Linked DNA regions of Caenorhabditis elegans. The protein of the gene in region 2 purifies or fractionates together with the protein of the main gene of each other region. This does not show direct contact. Each region holds a gene or a part of one and is shown on either strand. Other genes may lie near its edges. The genes, in order: nep-24 and ceh-99.

Region 1 (3,924 bases), on a different chromosome or scaffold from region 2:
TAGTCTGGATATCCAATTACCATATTCATACTGCTGACTCTATCCATCGCGATTTTCTTCGATTTAATGCTCATCCAATCAGTTGCGCCGATGATCTTCAACAGTTGAACTTGGGTGGCTTCAGTCAATTTGGTGATTTTCTTCCGATTCTCCTTACTTATAAAGTTGCGATAGAATGCACGAAGAGCAGCACGAGGGAGAAAGTTGATGACTTTCTAAATAAATTTTTCGAAAGAAAAAAAAATCATAGTACTCTACCTGTTCGCAAAATGCCGATGGGGAACCATATGTCAGGTCTGCGATAGACGTATCGATGAATTTGAAGATCAAGTAGTTGGCCAATGCTCTTTTAGAAGTGTTCCGAATGATTGTTTCAAGCTATAAGGAGAATATCTTCCGGAGAGTCGAAATATAGTGCTTTGGAGGCAGGCGCGGTTTCAGGGTCTGACGCCTGCCTCTCACCTTATTTTAGCGAGATAGGAAAGACACAATAAAGTGTGAAAAGTGGCTCTCGGGTTCTGCGCGCGAGGCAGGCGGAGGACGGGGGCCTGACGCCGGCCCGCCTCCCGCCGACCTCTCGCCTCATAATGACAAGAAATGAAAGACACCACATAGTGCTAAATGTGGCTCTTTTGCAGCGGCCGACACTTTTTGGGTTTCGCGCCGCACAATACAAGAGGCGCGGCAGGCAGAGGCAGGCGCTTTGGCGCCTACATGGAAGCCCTATCAAAATATAATGCTTACATTATTATTTTTTCCAAAAAACAGCGAGGTGTTGGTTAGGTACATAATCTGATACACTTCCGGGAATAAAGTTCTTTTGTCGGGGCTCATCATTTCCAAGACGAGCCTTGAAAAATTCACACTTGACACAAAATCTGATCGCTCAGAAAAAATATATCCTGGTTGAACTGTGTTGAACTTGTGCTGGCTTAACGCCTTCTCCAAATTAACATACTCTGCCAAATCGTCTAGAAGCTTCTTATTGTTCGTCTGAACAGAATTAGCTTTCAGAATCTCGGAAATTGTCTGAAAATTCAAATTTTTAAGGTGCAAAATGTATAAAATTGTATCCGAAACCTTTCCGAGATCTACGTTGTGACGCCAAGCTGCTTCTGGGCCTATAGCAAAATTTCGAACGTTTACATACCGTGCCATTTGAAATAGTCCAAAATTTTTTCTTCCCAACCTCACTAGATTAACAAGGAAATCATTCAGATCGAATTTCGACTCATCCCACTTATCATCCACCACTGGCCAAGCCCCAATGCTCTGAATATCTTGGAAAATGTCCTGAAGAGCTTTGTTACGACTGGCTGTGGAATTCTGAAAATTAAATTTTGCTTTTAAAATTTTGAAAAAAAACTTACTTTCTCCAAGGTTTTACACGCTTTATACAAGGTTCTCATAGCATTCTCCGACTTCGATCTTGACGTCTCGTTCTTTTTTAGAAATCCTGAAACAGGAACTAAATTACAGAAAAGAATAAAAGCTAAAGCTCACTTTTCATTATATTATTGATGGTTTTTGTTTTTTTCGTGTAAATATCTTCCGTTTCGTGCTCATGCTCTCTCCCGCAAGCGAATTGGTGGAAGTTGTCACACGGATCAACTGATGGGTCGTGGTAGTTGTGCTGGAAGTTTGATATAGTTGGAAACCAGAGTGCTAGGAACTTACCAACATGTGAGCAAGAGTGATGCATGCTGGAGTATTACAGACATTTCGGGTAGCAGGAGTTGTTGCTCCGATGGCGAGTGGAGCAGTACAGGTGAGAAGAAGAAGAAGCATAAATCCTGGCAGCTTTTCCTTGGCTTTTTGTAGACTCATTATCTGAAATTATATGTTACAAGCAGTAAGAATATAAAAACGACACAAACTGAAATAGAATACATGAAACAGAAAAAAAGTTTGTCAAAAAATAAATGTTTTGGTGAACAGTAACGTATCAATGATTCAATTCAAACATGTCAAACAAAAGACAAACCACCTGTTGTCACCGATCAACATTCGTATTTGATCAGAAATCTGAGCTGATTCATTAAATGGTATCTCTTTTCTGAACAAAATGATGAGAATGTTACTATAAATTAAAACAAGAAATCAGGGAGGAATCAAGTTCATTTCTAGTAAAAACCTAAAACACAAGTTCAGAACATATCACACTTCTTTCTCGGATTCATTGGAGATCCCGTCGGGCAGTTGAATGCTCTGGCAAACTCTGGAAGATTCGCATAGACTCCATTCACACGGAATGCTTTCCGAGGATGAGAACTTTCGATAGACCCTTTCAAATCACGCATCGCATGAGGGGTGCAGTGTGTCTGAAATAGATACTTTCAGAAAAAACTGCTAATATTAGTTTCAAAGCACCCGACATCTAATGGTCCCGCTTTATGTCGGCTGTTGAATGGCTAGACAACACTGTACCAAAGTGTCGACCAATCAGCGATGAGGGCGCGTGCTGATTGGTCGACATGGACTCACCAGGGCTCCAACACGGAAATACAGTTGGTCAATGTCATAGTCTTCAAATCCAATAATCCTTGTCGCATTTGTCAAGTCAAGACTTTTAAACATTTTCCAAGAAACCTCCCGTCCGATATTATCCGCCACAAGCTCATCGATCACTTTGCCGCCGTCAAACTGAATTTCTCGTTGAAAAATCATTTTTCAAGATCACCTAGTTTCACTTACAACTCGTCCAAAATCTGGATCATCATATTCACTGTACTGATTTGCCAGGCACTGCGCCCTGCTCTCGTATTCTGCAAGTTCTTCCGGTTTCATCCACACTTCCCGTCCTCTGACAGTTCTCAAAATTGCGTGTGGACCAAATGCGTGACCCATTTCATGACCAATTATGTTCCCAGACATGGCAATGTTCACATAATCGGGGTAGGTCGAGTCAAACATTGGATCATCAAAGAATGGAGCAAGGAAGTCTGGAAATTCTTTGAAAATTAGGTTAAAAGCCAATAGTACTTACTCAGCTGATTTCCGGGAATATAGTAGTAGGCATTCATTTCAAAAACGCGTAAATCTGGATCCAGAGGTGTCTCTTCTGCGAAATAATCCATTTTTTGTTCAACAAAATACCTTTCGAGCTTGTTGAGAGCTGTGTAGTACGTGTCAGATGAGTCGAGATTTAGCTAAAAAAATTAAGTAAATTAGGCATAAGTTTTCACTACTTACATTTTTAAACATGCCATCCAAAGTGCCCGGTGGCTCGAAAAAGTCCGGATACCCAATCATCTTTCCCATCGCATTAATTTTGTCTAGAGCAAGTTGTTTGGATTCTGCCTTTAGCCACGTGGAGTTCTGAACCAAAGTGTGAAGAGCGATTCGAGTTTTTTCGGCCAGCTGGGTGATCAGGTCTCGGTTCTCTTTGTCGACGTAATTGCGAATGAAGACTCGGAGAGATGCACGAGGAAGGTATGTGATGACTTTCTAAAAAAATATAGGATTTTTTGTACAGCCAATATTATCCGCCGACATCTCACGGGTACCGCATCCCACTAAGATTATCACGATGTAGGTAGGCGCTGAACCCGTGAGGTGTCGGTGGCTGTTATTTGCTTGGGGTCCCGATTTAGTTGCCAACCCAGAAAACGACCCAAAAACGGTGTGACCTAATTTTTGGGATTTGTTTTGCAGTTTTTCTAATTTCAAATGTACGTGTTGTCTTTCGTTCGAGTCGTTTGAGGTTGTGCAGCAGCCGACGCCTACCGGGCTGCAATACTAGCTGTGCTGTAGCGGATCCCGGCAGACGTCGGGCGCTTCTAAATTCATGAAACATGAGACAACTCCTGGCGACATTAGGGGGAAGGTATGCGATGACTTCGAAAAAAAAGGAGTTTCGTACATCGTGGCATTTACGTACGTACAAATCCATAAGACTGAGCCCTTTTTTTCCCGGAAATTCAC
Region 2 (3,924 bases):
TCCCTTCAAACCTGTACTTATTCCTATAAACTGTGAGCACAAAATATCACAAGGTGCTTTCCAACTTGTTATCACTAGTTTTATGAGTGATAGTACATTTCTGTAAAAGGCTTTTCGAAAGAAAGAGAATCAATTGCCTGTCAATTTGAAATTTAAAACATTGACATTCAAGTTTGCCGGTTTCTCGGTTTTTTTCTTCAAAATGAAAGTGTTTGAGAAAATGGTCAAAGCTGCCAACTGAGGAAAAAAAACGAGCAAGAAATATTGGAATATTGGGAAGTAAACGGAATTTAAGGAAATTGAGCAAACGGGCAAATCGGGTGAATTGGATGAAATGGCAAGTTTGGGAAAGTTGGACAAACATAAGAATTGAGAAAACTGATATATAGTGCAAATCGGGCAAGTCCGGCAAAATGGACAAAGTGGGCAAACTGAAGAGCAAGCATGTAAACTAAATAAGGTAAATGGGCAAATTAAACAAGCCAGGAAAAACAGGCTCACAGGTGAGCTGGAAAATTGATTTAACAGTGAACGCTGTAAAACTAGACGATTCGGAAAATTTGAACTCTGTAAAAAATTGCAATACTGCCGAAAAAATCTATGAAATGCAACGATTATTAAATTAAATTAAACAAAATGTCCCAAAGTTTCGGGAAAAAAGACATAAACGGCGGCAAAGGGGCCAATTTTACAGCTTTGGGAAATTGATGACAAAACTAGCTAGGACAATGATTTTTATGTGCACAATGAGCCCAATCTACATTTTCTCCCGATACCCTCAGATTTTCAATGTTTCCAGAAACTTCTTATATTCGTTCATCTAGCCCAAAATCCTTATCACTGCTACAAAAACTATTCCATTCAAAAAACGGCTGTCAGTGCTAGGCACATGCCCCTTTCTTTCTCGTACACGTCAATCAGTGCCACGTAGTCTCGACGCAGAAATCTGTCAAAATCGACCTATAAAACTGGGAGCGATGGCGCTGAGATGCTGATACTGATAAGCGAAGGGGTTTCTTTGTGGCGTTTGGTAGGAACACACAAAGAGCCCCGGAGGACAAAGAGCTCTTATCAGTGGATGCTCCGCGCCGCTCCCATTGTTCGTTTCGCTTTCAGTTCACTTATTCTGAAATTAATTTTTTTGCTGCCTATCTATATTCTGGTAAGTTTTTTTTTGCATCTGCCAAACCGCCCGTTTGGATGGTTGTGCTCTGAGGAAATACGCACAGAATGTCATTTCATCAGGCCATAGCTGTCCAAATTGGTATAGAGTTTGGAATGTTGAATCAGTTATTGGAGTTAGACAAAGGTAGAGTTTTTCATCATTTTAAAATGATATGCATACCTGACGTTCAAAAAATTGTTTGAAGCTTTTAAATTTAGCGGAAAAGTGTACACAAGAAGTTGATCCAAAAGGTCATTCCAGTCCGATTTTTGTGGACTTTTCTAGAAAATTGTGTAAAAAATACGCACAGTAATATTTTATGAAACAGTAACTAACGATAGTTAGCGTTACATGGGTTTTTGACATTGTCAAAAACTTTCGTCCAATTTCTGACAATCCTCACCACTCTTTTCACGTTGGAATTTTGATTCAAATATCTAACCTTTTACTCAAAAAAAATTGTTTTTGAATATATTAATTTTGACCTCCTAGATCACCTTTTATATATACCTCATCTTTTTTGAATTTGACCTCTTCCCGCCGTGTACACCTGGATGCAATGATGGCCGTCCGGCAATATGAAAAAGAGTGTGAAAATTGAGGAGAGTGGCAGACAAATACAACGCCAGTTTACACCGACAATATTACCGGTACAGAGAGTGTAGATAGTTAGAGAGTGACAGACATCCAGGATCCAATGGGGCGGGGCGCGCGGAAGAGACGATTTGTGTCGATTTACGAAATTTTCCTCGTTGTCATCATTTCGTAAATCGAGACAAATCGTCGTCTCTTCCGCGCGCCCCGCCCCATTGGGTCCCGGATGTCTGTCACTCTCTAACTATCAACACTCTCTGTACCGGTAATATCGACGCAGCATTTTTTTTTATTTTGTGGTATATTATTCCAAATTGTCAAAGGTAAATTATACGCCTTTATTTTTTTGTCAAATACTAGAATGGCACCTTCTTACTCGAGGAATACAAAAAATTCAAAGAAGACGGCACCGATATCTGCTGAGGAAAAACACAAGATTCTTGAAGAAGAATTTGCAAAAAGTCCGTATCGAGGACAAAGGAATTTGGAGTTGTGTGCAATGTTCAATATGACTAGGAGAAGGGTGAGTTTTTTTCCTAGAAATTTGAGAAACTTTTGTCTTATTTTTCATTGATTTTCTAATAGTAATTTTTCTAATAGTAATGTCTAAAATTAGGCCACAAATAGAACTTCTTATCTTTTTAACCGAATTTTTTGAAACGTTCTAATAATAATTTCTCTAAGAGTCGCTCAACTTCGGGCAACTTTTGTTAAACTTCTGATTTTTGAAATTTTTTAAAGTTGACAAAACCACGCGGTGTCAAGCTGTCCCATCACGGTTTGATCTACAAAAAATGCGGGAATTTTTTGCCCAATAAAATGTAACGTCAGCACGTTCTTAACCATGCAAAATCAGTTGAGAACTCTGCGTCTCTTCTCCCGAATTTTTTGTAGATCTACAGTGCTGGCCAAAAAGATATCCACTTTTGGTTTTTTGTGTGTAACTTTTTTCTCAAGCATCCATTTGACTTGAATTTTTCCGTGTGCATAAAGCGAAATGTTACGCAAATTTGCGGACCAAACATTACATGATTATCGATTTTTTCTGAATTTTATTTCAATTTTTTGATTTTTTCGTTTTTCCAATTTTCATTATTTTTTTTGAATTATCAATAAAACGCACTCTGTTTGTTGCACTGGATTTGTTTGGTTGATAAATTATTTTTAAGGTATGGTAAAATCTGTTGGGTGTAAAAATCTTTCCTTGGACGTCAAGAAAGCCATTGTAGCTGGCTTCGAACAAGGAATACCCACGAAAATGCTCGCGCTGCAAATTCAACGTTCTCCGTCGACTATTTGGAAAGTAATCAAGAAGTACCAAACTGAGGTGAGTTCGAAAAATATTATTTTTTAATAATAAATGTTTAGAAATCCGTCGCTTTGAGAATCTCGCCCGGCAGGCCTCGAGTGACAACCCATAGGATGGATCGCAACATCCTCCGATCAGCAAGAGAAGATCCGCATAGGACCGCCACGGATATTCAAATGATTATAAGTTCTCCAAATGAACCTGTACCAAGTAAACGAACTGTTCGTCGACGTTTACAGCAAGCAGGACTACACGGACGAAAGCCAGTCAAGAAACCGTTCATCAGTAAGAAAAATCGCATGGCTCGAGTTGCGTGGGCAAAAGCGCATCTTCGTTGGGGACGTCAGGAATGGGCTAAACACATCTGGTCTGACGAAAGCAAGTTCAATTTGTTCGGGAGTGATGGAAATTCCTGGGTACGTCGTCCTGTTGGCTCTAGGTACTCTCCAAAGTATCAATGCCCAACCGTTAAGCATGGAGGTGGGAGCGTCATGGTGTGGGGGTGCTTCACCAGCACTTCCATGGGCCCACTAAGGAGAATCCAAAGCATTATGGATCGTTTTCAATACGAAAACATCTTGGAAACTACAATGCGACCCTGGGCACTTCAAAATGTGGGCCGTGGCTTCGTGTTTCAGCAGGATAACGATCCTAAGCATACTTCTCTTCATGTGCGTTCCTGGTTTCAACGTCGTCGTGTGCATTTGCTCGATTGGCCAAGTCAGTCTCCGGACTTGAATCCAATAGAGCATTTGTGGGAAGAGTTGGAAAGACGTCTTGGAGGTATTCGGGCTTCAAATGCAGATGCCAAATTCAACCAGTTGGAAAACGCTTGGAAAGCTATCCCCATGTCAGT

The links.
Region 1: the proteins of ceh-99 (region 2) and nep-24 fractionate together in Caenorhabditis elegans (co-fractionation; one large-scale study listed by BioGRID). This does not show direct contact.

The regions. Positions count from the first base shown.
Region 1 is NC_003282.8:16,922,295-16,926,218, reverse strand, and holds the start of nep-24 (NEPrilysin metallopeptidase family), read right to left. Parts: upstream 1,828-3,924; coding exon 1,678-1,827; intron 1,634-1,677; coding exon 1,504-1,633; intron 1,457-1,503; coding exon 1,371-1,456; intron 1,327-1,370; coding exon 1,081-1,326; intron 1,030-1,080; coding exon 745-1,029; intron 379-744; coding exon 259-378; intron 216-258; coding exon 1-215. Other genes in the region: nep-23 (NEPrilysin metallopeptidase family), read right to left, coding at 2,148-2,321, 2,485-2,643, 2,695-2,942, 2,987-3,149, 3,193-3,447.
Region 2 is NC_003280.10:12,518,092-12,522,015, forward strand, and holds the start of ceh-99 (Homeobox domain-containing protein), read left to right. Parts: upstream 1-1,889; 5' UTR 1,890-2,120; coding exon 2,121-2,282; intron 2,283-3,924.